Oreochromis niloticus: one gene and its partner. The protein of the gene in region 2 purifies or fractionates together with the protein of the main gene of each other region. This does not show direct contact. Links are inferred from orthologs where the notes say so. Each region holds a gene or a part of one and is shown on either strand. Other genes may lie near its edges.

Region 1 (7,288 bases), on a different chromosome or scaffold from region 2:
CACGGTTTTCAGGGTTTTCCATTAGGTCATAGCACCTGGTACCAGGTATTTTTTAGTACCTGTTCTGCCAAAGTTCCAAGCCATCCGAGCGGGTGATAAATTGTGACATTGTCAGACTGCATGCCACTGATTGGCTGGGTCACAGGCGTTACTCAATGATTAATAAGATCGTTTCGTTCACGAATATCAACACCGCCATTTTTGAAATCCAGCAACGAGGGAAATAGCTACAAAAAACCAATCCCGTGTTCCCCGAGTCTGACGAAAAGACACAGAGCAGCAGGTATATTCTTGACTGGACGTCCACCTTTGTTGTAGCATTCATCTCGCATATTAATTACGTCTGGAGACCATGCACATTTCGAGGTACTACACTGTAATGGAAAATCATTTGATCCAAGTCTAGTGGCGAGTCGGCCCAAATAGGTTCTAATGGAAAAGGAGCTTATGTAGCATAGGCGAGTTTAAACCCTTCTCCATCAGAGCACCACAAAAAAATAACTATATTAAAACTAGTTATAATTGCATATTTTAATATTCTTTTCTGACTCTGTATTCAAATGTTATATTTTCCTAACTTGTCTGCTGGCAACAGTACAGGACAGACATAAACCTGAAGACAGGTTTTATGTCCAGTATTGTTGATGTCATGATGTTACAGTGTGCTTACAGAGGCATTGCTACTTCAACAGTGTGGCTTGTCATTAATATCCTTATAAGACTGCACCAGAAAGAAGAGTGTCACCAGAGTCACCTGCAGTGGACTCCACTCCGAATCAGTTGGTCCCTCTCCGCTGCCTGCCGCAGACACCTCGAGACCTGCCGCGGATTCCATGCCTCCACCTGCCGCGGACACCAGCATGGAATCCCCCTGCCAATCCTCCAAAGGGTGCCAGCCACCAACCAATCCACACTGCAGCAGAAAACCTGCCAATCCACCCCGCCGCCGGCCGCCTGCTAATTGCCACAATCCAAGCCACTTGAAAGGTCCCGCCTTCGCCCCGTCGTTGGCCTCTGGTCCTGTCGTCCATGGGTCTTCTCTGTAATGGTCGACCCCTAGACCCGCTGTGCCTTCTTTGTTGGGTTCCAGATCACAGTTGTGTCTGCCGGTGGACTCGTGACCAACCTCCTGAACAGTTGTCTCTTCCAACACTCTTGTGGTCAGTGGTGTTTGGTCTACCATTAATTTTCTTCTTTTTCACCTGAAGCAGAACAAATTATCATCAAACCAAGTGGCGAAGAAAAAGTGGCATGTCTTTGATCAATATTAAGTCATTTGTGTGGTAACACAGGTCTGCCCTCATCTTGGTCTCAACTATTGTAACCTGCGAGTATTAAGACCGCAAACCCTAAGCTGTACTGCTGCTAGCCTTTCTGAACGAATTATTAATAAGCACCAGTAAATACTAAGAAACTATAAAATACTATGAAACTGATTTGGCTGGTTGCTACCAAAGAGCCATCACAAATGCAGAAGCATGAACACTGTTGCCAACTCCTCAATAAGGAAAATTGCTATTGGCTGTCCTAAAAATCCCTAGAAGTTGCTAAATGATGTCATCGCCTAATTTGCATAATTGGTCATGCTTATGTAATTGTAACGAACACTGTAGGCCAGAGAAATAACATTGTGGAAGAGACATAAAGTGAGTAAAAAAACACACTAAACGCATTTAGAATATATTTAAACTACAAATTAAATTTCTTTTAGCATTTTTTTTTTTTTTTATGTCACAATTCCAACCCTCCTCCTTTAACTGGGCTTGGGACCTGCAAAAGTGACCCGAAATAGGCACTCTGGCGGAGTTACTTTTAGTGTGTGTGTTTGTGTTTTTAAGTAGTTTTAAACCTTGTGTTCCACAAAAAGTAACTGTAAAAGAAGAACTGACAGCGTTTCAGTTAGGGCGGGAGCAGCGGCTTCGCCCATGCGCTATTGCAGTTTGGACGCGTAGGCATACTTGCCAACCTTGATACCTCAGAATTAGGGAGAAATTCAAAAGGGCTGTTGTGTGGGGGGTATACATATACATATATATACAACAAACTTGAATTTTAAAATGTTTATTTATCGGATAAAATAAGTTAAATGTCACCGTTGTTATTGTCCGGCCGGAAACAGCGGGGGTGTCCAAATTCAGAGCCTTGTCCAATCAGGGGACGCTCTCTGTTGAGGAGAAAAGCATGAATTTGTTTGTATACGGATTATCCATTGTTTAAATGTCCCAGGCAGTCGAAAAGAAGGCAGAGCTGTTGAGAAATGCTAGGAGCTAACTGGGTGCTAACCGTGTCATTCAAATACATTAACTGTCGCAATGTTGGCAAAGAGAGGAAGTGACGTAAGATTTGCACATGCGTGGTACCGATTGTGTTTCCGGGTAGCAACAGTGCCCACGGCAGCACCCACTGCTTGTTGAGAGTAAGAGCGATGCATGCTTTCATGTCAAAAAGTCATCATAAGTCTCCAATAACACCAGCAAAAGTCGCCAGATTTGTTGCTAGTCGCTCTTTAGAAAAAAAAGTCGCTAAGGGGGTCTGAAAACTCGCTAAAGTTGACAACCCTGACCATGACAAGTATCGCTAGCTAGCCATTAGCAACTTAATACAACTTTCCCGGCCAACCAGACATTTCTCCTCTTCATTTTCATTAAGACGAAATTAATTTCTTAAAATTTCCATGGTTTAATGAAGTACCCAAACACTGACAGCGAATTAAAAAAGTAAATAACAAAGAGGACTGAAGGAATACAACACGTTTCTACCACCAGCCTAGCTAACGTTACAGGCTGTACGGAGGCTAGCTGGCGGCCTAAACCTGCACATCTAAACATATCTACAGTAACATGACGAATAAATCGTGGCAATAATGATGTTTACCGTATAGCCTAAACATAAAGAATCGTCTCATGATAGTTGGAGAGAATATTTTTTATTCTCTAACACGGATGAAAGCAGATTGTTTTCCTACAGTAACACGAAGGCACGGCTGTCTTACCTTTGCTATGAAAAAAAGACCGACATCCGGGCATGTGACGTATATAAGGACGCTGGCCAAGGGTGTTGCCCAACGTCGTTACGTTAAGTTTACGTTAAGGTGTGATGGTACTTGTAGTCCAAATAATGATTTTCTGTTGCTATAGCCCCTTTTCTATAAATACCTCCTCGGATCAACTCGGTTCGGTTTGCCTCAGTTTTCAGGGTTTTCCATTTGGTCAGAGTACCTGGTACCAGATACTTTTTTAGTACCTCCTCGGCCACAGTTCCAAGCAATCTGAGAAGGTCCTAAATTGTGATACTCATGAGTGTATTCATGAGAGCATTTTGTTCATGAATATCAACACCGCCATTTCTGAAACCCGGCAAAGGGGGAAATGGCTACGAAAAACAATGCCGTGTTCCCCGATTCTGACGAAAAGGCACAGACAGAGCAACAAGTATATTCTTGCCTCGACGTCCACCTTTGTTGTCGCGTTCATGTTGCATGTTAATTGCATTGTGGGATGCTCAGATGCCACACCGCCCTCTGCTTCTTGGACCAAGCCTGTTGGTCTCTCTCTGCCGCATGCTACAGACTACATGCCAGTACTTGCCATGGACTCCACGCCGCTGCCTGCCACGACACCAGAGTGGATTCCACCTGCCAAGGGTCTCCCGAGGGTCTCCATCTCAATTGCTGCCAGCCACCAATGAATCCACGCCTCAGCAGGCCACCTGCCAATCACCGCAAGCCACCAACCAAGCCACCTGAAGGGTTCTGACGTTTCCGGTGCTGTCACCCATTGGTCTTCGCTGTAATGGTTGACCCCTAGACCTGCTTTGCCTGCTTCGTCGTCTTCCAGATCACCATCGTGTCCACTGCTGGCCACGCGACTGGCCTCCCGAACTGTTGTCTCCTCCAACAGTCTTGATGACATTAGCCTTCGGTCTAGCCTTACTCTTATTCTCCACTTGGAGCAAAACAAATTATCATCTAAAAAAGTGGCAAAGAAAAAGTGGCATGTGTTTGATCCATATTAAAAAAATTGTATGGCACCACAGGTCTGCCTCTTGGTCTTAGCGGTCTTGATCTTCTTCTTATATATAGCCCTGCGAGCAGACCAGCAGTAGCGACCGATGCCCCGGGCCAGAACCGGGTTCTGGCTCCCTCGCTTCTTCTTCTTGGCAGCTTGGTCTCCCTCTGCCATCTGACACAAAGTAAAAAGAAGGTAGATGTTTGTTAGAGTCTCAGATGAGAAATGGTTTATTGTACCACAGTGATGTTATGGCATTACGTTCCTAGGTTTATTATTCTTCTAACACTGGTTTTTAGCAGCAGGACTCCAGCACCAACTACAGCAGAATAGCAGTGTTTCAAGATCTCAAACTCTAAGCTGTAGTGCTGCTAGTCTTTCTGAACAAACTATTAATAAGCACCAGTAAATTCCAAGAAACTATAACATACTATGATCTAGCATTTTCTAGTTTATGGAGTTTGTTACTTAATATTTAAAACTTTCTGTTCTTTCAAGTTTCATGATAATTTTTAAGTCTTTTATTAAGTATGTTTGAATTAGTCTTCAGTTCCTTGTGATTTTTAAGTTTCTCTCTCTCAGTGTCTCGTCTCCTCCTGTGGTTAGTCAGTCTTATTTTCACGTTTGTTTGTTTTTTTCATCTCAATGATTGGTGGTCCTTTTGTGTCTGTTTAGTGTCAGTCACGTCCCCATGTCTGTTTCTCGCCTGGCCCCAGTGTCAAGCCAGTGTGTCTTAGTCTACATCTCAGTTTGTTTCCTGTTTTATTTTAACAGTGTCTCGTCCTGTGTTCTGCATGTTCAGTTTTGCTTCCCCTGTCTTATTACAGGGAGTGCAGAATTATTAGGCAAGTTGTATTTTTGAGGAATAATTTTATTATTGAACAACAACCATGTTCTCAATGAACCCAAAAAACCCATTAATATCAAAGCTGAATGTTTTTGGAAGTAGTTTTTAGTTTTAGCTATTTTAGGGGGATATCTGTGTGTGCAGGTGACTATTACTGTGCATAATTATTAGGCAACTTAACAAAAAACAAATATATACCCATTTCAATTATTTATTTTTACCAGTGAAACCAATATAACATCTCCACATTCACAAATATACATTTCTGACATTCAAAAACAAAACAAAAACAAATCAGCGACCAATATAGCCACCTTTCTTTGCAAGGACACTCAAAAGCCTGCCATCCATGGATTCTGTCAGTGTTTTGATCTGTTCACCATCAACATTGCGTGCAGCAGCAACCACAGCCTCCCAGACACTGTTCAGAGAGGTGTACTGTTTTCCCTCCTTGTAAATCTCACATTTGATGATGGACCACAGGTTCTCAATGGGGTTCAGATCAGGTGAACAAGGAGGCCATGTCATTAGTTTTTCTTCTTTTATACCCTTTCTTGCCAGCCACGCTGTGGAGTACTTGGACGTGTGTGATGGAGCATTGTCCTGCATGAAAATCATGTTTTTCTTGAAGGATGGAGACTTCTTCCTGTACCACTGCTTGAAGAAGGTGTCTTCCAGAAACTGGCAGTAGGACTGGGAGTTGAGCTTGACTCCATCCTCAACCCGAAAAGGCCCCACAAGCTCATCTTTGATGATACCAGCCCAAACCAGTACTCCACCTCCACCTTGCTGGCGTCTGAGTCGGACTGGAGCTCTCTGCCCTTTACCAATCCAGCCACGGGCCCATCCATCTGGCCCATCAAGACTCACTCTCATTTCATCAGTCCATAAAACCTTAGAAAAATCAGTCTTGAGATATTTCTTGGCCCAGTCTTGACGTTTCAGCTTGTGTGTCTTGTTCAGTGGTGGTCGTCTTTCAGCCTTTCTTACCTTGGCCATGTCTCTGAGTATTGCACACCTTGTGCTTTTGGGCACTCCAGTGATGTTGCAGCTCTGAAATATGGCCAAACTGGTGGCAAGTGGCATCTTGGCAGCTGCACACTTGACTTTTCTCAGTTCATGGGCAGTTATTTTGCGCCTTGGTTTTTCCACACGCTTCTTGCGACCCTGTTGACTATTTTGAATGAAACGCTTGATTGTTTGATGATCACGCTTCAGAAGCTTTGCAATTTTAACACTGCTGCATCCCTCTGCAAGATATCTCACTATTTTTGACTTTTCTGAGCCTGTCAAGTCCTTCTTTTGACCCATTTTGCCAAAGGAAAGGAAGTTGCCTAATAATTATGCACACCCGATATAGGGTGTTGATGTCATTAGACCACACCCCTTCTCATTACAGAGATGCACATCATCTAATATGCTTAATTGGTAGTGGGCTTTCGAGCCTATACAGCTTGGAGTAAGACAACATGCATGAAGAGGATGATGTGGACAAAATACTCATTTGCCTAATAATTCTGCACTCCCTGTATGTCTGATTTGTTCCTCCTGTGTTCCCACCTGTCACCCATCCTTTCGTTATCCTGTGTGTATTTAAGTCCTCAATCTCCCTCTGCTCATTGCTAATTTTTGTATCATTGCAATAAAGCTGCCTCTTTTGGTTTATTTCTCCCGCCTCTGAGTCCTGTGTTTGGATCCTACCCTTGCCTGCCGCATAGCCTACTATGACAATAAGGAAGTAATGCCGTGGCACAAATCCATGATGCAGATTTAAAACACACTTTAACTCAAATATAGCAAAAGTTCAAACTGTTCTGATAAAGCGGGGACATTGCTGTGACTTATAAAGCGTCCGCTTAATTTGATTTTTTCTCTAAATAGGGTCCAAAACATGCTGTTGTAGCCAGTGATGGGAATAACGGTGTTACTAACGGCGTTACTTTTTCAGTAACGATTAATCTAACTAATTACTATTTCTATCGTTACAACGCCGTTACCGTTACTAACAAGAAAATGCGGTGCAGTCGCAACCGTCAACAAACAGACGGTTGAAGCTGTGTTCAGCTTACCGCACGTAAGTAATCTGGGCGCTACAGCTTTAAGCAGCTGCGCGCGCTCCCGCGGATGGCAATCATGATCACTTTTTGGCGCAACACCTGGAGCTAGGGGGCAAAACAATCGCATGAGTGCTGCTGTTTGACTGAGGAAGAATAAAGTAGTCGTGGTAAGCCAATCACACGACCACTTTAAGATGACAAAGCAACAAGGTGATAGTTTTTAAAAATTGTGCTAATAGGCCACGTAAAACCAGAGTCATGATAATCAATATATACGCGTGTTTTTTTCCTGAATAGTTTCGTCATGTTTACTGTCCCTCTAGGACAGCGCTAGCAAGCACTCTCTGCTTATGACCAAAAAATAAAATAACAAAACA
Region 2 (7,612 bases):
AGCTGCCACCACACACAGCGTTCATGCGGCCGGTGTGGAAGAAGTGGGAACTTTGCAAAATGTGTCCGTCTGGTACAAAAAAAGTGTTATTTCTTAAAATGCATCAGAGAGTGAGCTATTTCAGAAAAAAAAGAATAAGAAAAAAAAAAATCCATCAGTGAACTCGCCGCCTACTGCTTCTGCTTCTTCTTTGCTGGTTTGATAGCAGGCAGCTCTTCCTCTTCTTCCTCCTCCTCATCTTCATCCTCAGACACATCGGAGTTTTCGACCTGTGAGACTGAGAAGATCAGGAGAAAATGTCAGCTCACCGTGTTACACCGAATCCCGGTATCACCATCTAGACTGCGAGCGTGAGACTCAGCCCTTTAATGTTCTGTTATTTTGTTTCATATTGAAAGAACAAAAGATAAAGGATTCACCATTTTCTATCTTTTTAAGGGCCAGAAAGGTCGCTTTATTGAACGCGCCCTCACGGTTGACCCTCACGCACACACTAACTCGAACCAGCAGAAGGAATAAAGTTGTAAGATGTAAGTGGCACATTTCTGTTACTAAGTTTTATTGCCCAGAGATATATTTAACCTTTTGTCTACCAGGGTGAGGGAGCACCAAGGTTACTCCAGGTGTTTCACTACAGAGGACATTCATGACATTCACCTGTATTGAGGATTAAATGAGTTTGGATCCTGATGCCGCCGCTTTAGACTGTAGTTACTCAAAAGCTGTGAGGTACAAAAGATCTTTTTCAAAATAGTATATGTGTTAAGCAATTAAGCCGAAGGCAACTGAGCTTGATTTTCAGGTTCACGTAAAAGTGTCAGGACCGCCTCCAAGGTGATAACCCCAGTGGAGGTTAAATACCTGGGATTCCCAATCAGCTTGTAGAACTGAAGAAGGCTCTTGTATGAGAGAGGAAACATCTCGGGGGTAGGGGGACTTAATTTGAGTAAACGTTCTTTTAAAAGTACGATGAATAAGCTGGAGCTAAAGATCTTCATTAGGTTGTTTGTTTTGGCAGAAATTCCCCAAAATAAAAAACCATCCTGAAAGGCTGCTGATGTTCTTATAAAGGTGATAGTGGTGACTGTCTGACCAAACAGGAATTTCAGGGGAATGAAAGCTGGCAGACCTGATGAGGGCAAAATATGGCCTACAGTCCAGCTCAGACCTTAACGTTTTACCCCTTGAAAGCCTACTAGGAGTAACCCCTGAATCTGTTATCTATCATGCCTGCTTATAAAACAAAATGAACGGGTTTGCATCAGAAGTTAGTGAGGGTCGTCTCTGATTATGCAGCTACACTTGGAAAAACCCGGAAACTACTGTTACAGTCCTCAAATGACGATAGCGATACATACTGAGAGGTCAAAACTCTTTGTGAAAGTTACGGAGGAGTTGGTTAAACGTCATCTTCATGGGGGAAAGAGTTTAAGGCAAACTGAACAAGCCCTGCCTCCCACCAAATAAATAAAAGAAATAAAAATGAGAACCCATATTTACGGATGTTGTTCGGCACTGCTTTCACTTGTGTGCAAATCATTTTTCCCCTGTTATTAATTACAACGCCTTCACTTAAACACTTAAAAAAATATAGAAAATTAAAAGCTGATACAGCATTTAAGCAGACTATTTTATCCAAACTTTCTAGTAGAAAGCTCTTGATTTTTTAAACAAGGACCTTATTCTTACATATTATGCCTACCAAAATTCATGTAGTTTAGAATAATTCAGGGTTAGGGGCGACATATTGGAACGTTTGAATGTCTGGGTCTTTGTTTTATTTTATCCACGTCACACTGCGAAAAACTGTTGCCCATCCCTAATATAGACCAATAGGTCAAACACTCAACTGCAGCCAAGCATTACTCTAATTAACTTCCTTAAATGTCAAGCAGAGGAATTCAATTTTTTATAATCAGCTACAAATAAAAATACAAAATTCCAGCTGTATGTTTATTTGGGTCAGCCAACTCAGTTTGAAAAGAGTACCTGCATTAAATTGGATCAGTTCCTATTATTCACTGATTACTATCATTTTGATATAAATACAATGAAGGGGCTGAAAACTGATGAGATATTGTCAGTGAGCTTCTTAGAATATCAGTACTGGCAGTGTTAAAGTGTTAAAGCACAAAGAAAGTAGAATATTACCAATAAGGTGTAGCCCACTGACAGAAACTGGCCCTGTGCCGGCCTTGAGTCGGATGGTGACTGGGGCTTTCAGCTCAAACTCTCCCAGACTCACCTGAGGACACAAAGCATCAAAGTTAAGACAGATCAAACTTCAGCTGTGCAGCACATCAGCCTCAGTTTACACACCATGGGGAGACACTTGATGTGAAGGTTGGCAATGGGCACCGAGATCGTCTTTCCTTGGTGGTTCATGGCTGTCACCTCCACCACATTGCTCTCCTCCTTGGCACCGTTACCTAAGCAAACCTGCAGCAATCACAACACAACATCTGTCTGGTGTGTTCGTGCCGCTGATAAATCCCAATGATGGTAACAAAACTGTGCATACTGTTCTGAGTTCAAGGAAGTGCTCCAGGTCCTCCTCCTCCTCCTCATCTCCTTGGAAAGTGTAGAAAGGTACTTTGGAGGACAGCTCGCAATCTGGAATAACAGTAAGACCAGCAATTAAATGACAGCGGTTTTTATTAACAAAAACCCCCAAAACAAAACAATCCAAAATCAAACCCCCAGTAAAAAAAAAAGGGAGTGAGAAATTTCTGTAGGAACATCACAGCAGAAACCCACGTGTGCGCCTACAGAGCATCTCTGACAGACTGTTTAACAGGCCCTTACTGAACAGGAAGCTCTCCAGCCTGGATTGACCGCTCAGTCCGGCGTCCGAGGATTCATCGTCTTGGAAAGACATTTTGCAGAAACGGTAAAAGTTAAGTATTCTGCTGGCGCTTTCCTCTCTAATGAGCTCTCCACGATAAATAACAAGCACGTCGCAGCCTACACGCGTACCTGATACGTCATCAGTGCGCGCCCGTGGCTCGGCAATTCCCTCCTTTCACAGAAATCAGGCGCTGACTGGGTAAAAGACGTGATGAACTTCTCATTTACCTGAGCTGATTCAGAGCGGTGGCTAATAAACTTAAAAACTATTGAACTTAATGTAAAATAAAGTGAAATATAGAATATTATAATAAGGTAAACAATACCATCTGCTAATGCTAATAATATCTGCTTAAACTTAGTCCCTTAGAGCTGTTTTCGTGACATAGATTCAACCAGGGGGAAACCTTCCTCAGAGATTTTGGTCCATATTGACATGAAAAGCACCACACAGTTGCTGCACATCCATGATGGGAATCTCATGTTCCATCACATCCCAGAGGTGCTCTGTTGTTGAAATCTGGTGACTGTGGAGGCCATTTGAGTGCAGTGAACTAAGTGTCATGTTCAAGATACCAGTTTGAGATGATTTGAGCTTTGTGAGTGTTATCCTGTTGGAAACAGACATCAAAAATGGACACACTGTGGTCTTAAAGGATGGACATGGTCAGCAACAATACTCAGACTGTGGTGTTTAAATGATGCTCAGTTGGTACTAAGGGGCCCAAAGTACGCAGAGAAAACCCCCTCACACCATTACACCACCAGGAGCCTGAGTATTTGATACAAGGCAGGAATGAGCTCGTGCTTTCAGCTTGTTAATGCCAAATTCTGATCATACCATTACAAATGTTGCAGCAAAAATCCAGAAAGTTTTTTCCAGTTTTGGCAATCCCATGTGACTTGCAGCCTTGGGTTCCTGTCCTTACTTGACATGAGTGGCACCCCAGCACGGTCTTCTGCTGCTATAAGCCATCTGCTTCAGTGTTCAGAGATGCTCTTGTGCACACATTGGTTGTAAATCAGTGGTTATGGTCGTTTTCATATCAGTTCAAAAGCAGTCTGGCCATTTTCCTCTGACCTCAACGAATCATTTCTACCTAAAAAACGGCTACTCACCGATTTAAAAAACAAAACAAAAAACACTTTCTATAAATCCTTGAAATTACTGCAGGAAAAATCCCAGTAGATCACCAGCTTCTGAATACTCAGCCTGTATGGCATCACAGATTCCACATTTAAAGTCAGTTAAAATCATCTTTTAGCTCCATTCTGATGCTTGGTTTGATCTTCAGTAGGTAGCATGAAAGTAGATATTTGCCTTAATGACTAGTTGAACAGGTGTACCTAACCACTGGCTGCTGATTATTACATAATTGTTTGCAATAAAGATTCTTTTAACAAGGATATTAAACCAAAGGTCACTTCTGACCCATCTGAACAGGTCAGTATTCCTTTATTGTAAACACATTACTTTTCTTTTACTTGTAAAAACCTTACATGAAATCTTTCACTACAGACAGGTATTAAAAAAAAAAAAAAAAAAAAATCTAAATAAATAGTGGCACACAGGACACAAAGCAACAGTCACTTATCGTTTATTAGTTTTTCCATTTTATATATTTTACATACAAACTTTACAATGGAAAACTGTCACTTTAATGACCCCCCCCACCCCTTAACTGAAAATCTACAACTGGAGCCCTCTCTCTTTCACAGCCAAATATTAATCAAACCTAGTTGGCAGAGGAGAAAGCTCAAGCATCAGCAAACTGCAAAATGAACCATTTAAGACAAGTGTGAAAATTATACCGCTGTTTCAGCAGACAGAGAGCAGATCCTGTGGGTGAGTTTCACACCTGGCTGACAGGTAAGACGGCTGTACAGGATGAGGGATTAACTAAACCAGCGTTAGTTTGCTGGCAGCAGTTTCAATAAAGAAAACAAAATAACACTTTATGATCGACAGAGTTTACAGACTGTCCGAGAACAACAGTATTATACTCATAGGGCTGAGTGGCATGCTTCTTCCTCTATGTAGCATCAGATGAGGTTATTTTTTTCCTAGCATCTGCCACAAGAAATCCATTACAACTCATGCACATTATGAATGCACAGTTTCAAAACATCACATTGGCAGGCAGCTACTGAGTAACAACCACAGATCCTCAGTTAACTGGTTAAACACTCCTATAAGTGAAAGTGCTTTTTTAAAAGAACAAACAAACAAACAAAAAAAAAAAATTCATAAAAGCAAATTATAGCTTTGACTTAAAAACACATTCAATGAAGAGCTTGTGAGGAGGGGGGGGGTAAATAAATTTCTGCTCCAAACCCTGTCAACTGAACTAAACAGTGTGGAAACCATTGCCATTTTCACATTTGGTGAAAACATTCAACAACCTCAGTGATCCCAAGAGCACCTCGCTGAAGCGCAGCTGAGAATACATTTACTGGTATGCAACGCTGAAACAAAGCATTAAGGGATGACACAAGTGAATTTGCCAGTCAGGTCTGGTGAAATGAACAATTTCATATCAGTGGAAGAAAAGAAGATTTCAGATTCTTCATCATTTCAAGCAAAAGAAAAACCAACAACAACTACAACCCCCCCCCAAAAAACAAAAACACAAAGCAACACAAAAAGCCTAACACATTTTGGTCCCGTGGTGTACTACTCTCAGGAAGTGTTGATTTAAACATTCGTGCTTTCAAACAGGAACGAAACAAACTGTGGTAAACTTGACATTTTAACTACGCAAAGTTAGGAAAGACAAACATTTCAACAATATTAGATAAATGTAGAATTTAACAACTAAAAATGGTACAATATCGGCTTTTTAGTCAGCTTAGGTTTACTGAAGGGTTTTTGTGCTTGCGTTATGGATCTGGTAGAGCAAAAACCAAGACGCGTTACTGTGAGTGTGAGGCTACATCTCTGGAATTTGAAAAACAACGAGGCCAACGTGCCATCTCTAGCCGTGTGTGAAATTATAAAGCTAAAATAATAAGGCAAGGAACAAAAAGGCAATGGCTGAAAAACATGTTAATGAACACATGAAAGCTTTAATTGCTTTCCAAATGTCTACTACTAGAACGGTAATTCAAAAGGACCTCCTCTTTGACGTTTTCTTTGTTGGCCTGTGGCAACATTTAATTCAGGGCTTGGCAAAACCTTAAAAAGCTACAACTGTTCACCCTTTGTGTACACACACAGTGCTTCACATCAATTTTGTCAGAAACACACTACCTAAAAGGCAGCCATCTCCAAGTATTTGGAGCGACCGAAAATACCATGATGTGCAAACGAAAGGCAAACTCTCAAACAGCACTTCACATCCTGCATAAAGATGTTCCACCTAAGCCAACGACTATACCATTTCTCCATGTCACATCTGGGAAAGCAGGATGTGGCGGTAGTTACGACATTAGATGCGGGCTACCCTCATTTCACAGCTCAGCCTTCACTTCAGATACAGACGCTGATTTCAGGCATGCGGGTAAAATTCATGTAATGGCCACTGGATATAACAAAAAAAAAAGAAAAAAAAAAAAAAAAAAAAAAGGAGGTGGGTGGGTTAAGAAGGGCTCAAGGAGTCATCTCTTCCTTCCTCTTTCCTTCCTTCCTCCTAGGAAGGAATAGTGGGATCAGAGAAGGAGTCCCACTTGTGTGTTACTGACTGAAAGAGATTACAGATCACTCCTTGGCCTTTGACGTGCTGAATCCAGTAGAGCCAAAACATCTAAGGGGGGCACAGGCATCCGCTGTGCTTCCACACAAATCCTAAAAAGAGCCCAGATTGGTAACGTGGTATAAAAATCACCATGAAAGTGTTTTTCTCATGAAGGTAGCAAACACATTTAAACTATGTCAACTCGCTCTTTGTCCGTTATTGTCGCAGGATGTTTCTTCAAAGGCTACGGCCCATGATGATGATGTCTTTAGGAAAGCCCTCCATTTTGGCCACTTCAAAGCATCCCAGCTTACTATAGAAGTCCAACATTCGCTTATCAGTCTGTCGAACCTTACAGAACGCGCCGCGGGATCCTGAGAGAGAAAGGAGACAGGTAAGAGAACCAAACTTCACTACCCTTGGTTTGTTTACATTAAATATAAAAGGGGTAAGGAAGCCTTTATGATAAAAATGGAAAGTCATGTAGGCTTCTAATCTTGTCGTTTTTGGACTTTGGCCCCATGCACACATTACATCTAGATAAGTGAACCTTTGTTTTCCACTTTACTAAAACTTGAAAAATAAACTTAATGAATCAATACTTCTACGGAGTGGTTATGAGGCAGGAGGCTAAAGACACGGTTGGCTGCTACCTACCGTTGGCCTTAAGAGAAGATAACAGACAGCCCATCATGCTTTTGGCCACACTGGGGTCAGTGACTTTGGCGTGAATGTCAACCTTGATGAGAGAGGGAAAGTTGGAGAGGAAAGAGTCCGGCAGACCCTCCTCCTCTTCATGGAAAGTCAGTATCATCTTCTACAATAATGAAAGAGTGCTTTAGTAATCTTAACAAAAGGACGCACAATCATGACGCTCAATATTATGATAGAAAGAAATGGATTATAAGCATACCTCAGCCTCTGTGAGGTCCTTATCACAGTCAGGTTTGTGGTATTTCTCTTGCATGAAGGGAATCCAGCTCAACTTGCATTTCTTGATAAAGGGTTTAACATCTACGGTGCCGAGAGCATAACCACAGATCCCTTCATCATCCTCCAACACAAACCCATAGTCTGAACTTAGTGTCAGG

Evidence for each region.
Region 1: the proteins of npm3 (region 2) and rpl6 purify together in Homo sapiens (affinity purification with mass spectrometry; 3 studies listed by BioGRID and IntAct, with this or other methods). This does not show direct contact. The link is inferred for Oreochromis niloticus from reciprocal best matches to the Homo sapiens genes NPM3 and RPL6.

Annotation. Positions count from the first base shown.
Region 1 is NC_031977.2:25,905,322-25,912,609, reverse strand, and holds the start of rpl6 (large ribosomal subunit protein eL6), read right to left. Parts: upstream 3,008-7,288; 5' UTR 2,993-3,007; intron 1-2,992.
Region 2 is NC_031978.2:18,872,751-18,880,362, reverse strand, and holds the start of npm3 (nucleoplasmin-3), read right to left. Parts: upstream 3,003-7,612; 5' UTR 2,879-3,002; coding exon 2,806-2,878; intron 2,614-2,805; coding exon 2,522-2,613; intron 2,440-2,521; coding exon 2,320-2,439; intron 2,246-2,319; coding exon 2,152-2,245; intron 278-2,151; coding exon 171-277; 3' UTR 1-170. Other genes in the region: oga (protein O-GlcNAcase), read right to left, coding at 6,759-6,895, 7,179-7,338, 7,435-7,612. UniProt on the Homo sapiens protein: Plays a role in the regulation of diverse cellular processes such as ribosome biogenesis, chromatin remodeling or protein chaperoning. Modulates the histone chaperone function and the RNA-binding activity of nucleolar phosphoprotein B23/NPM.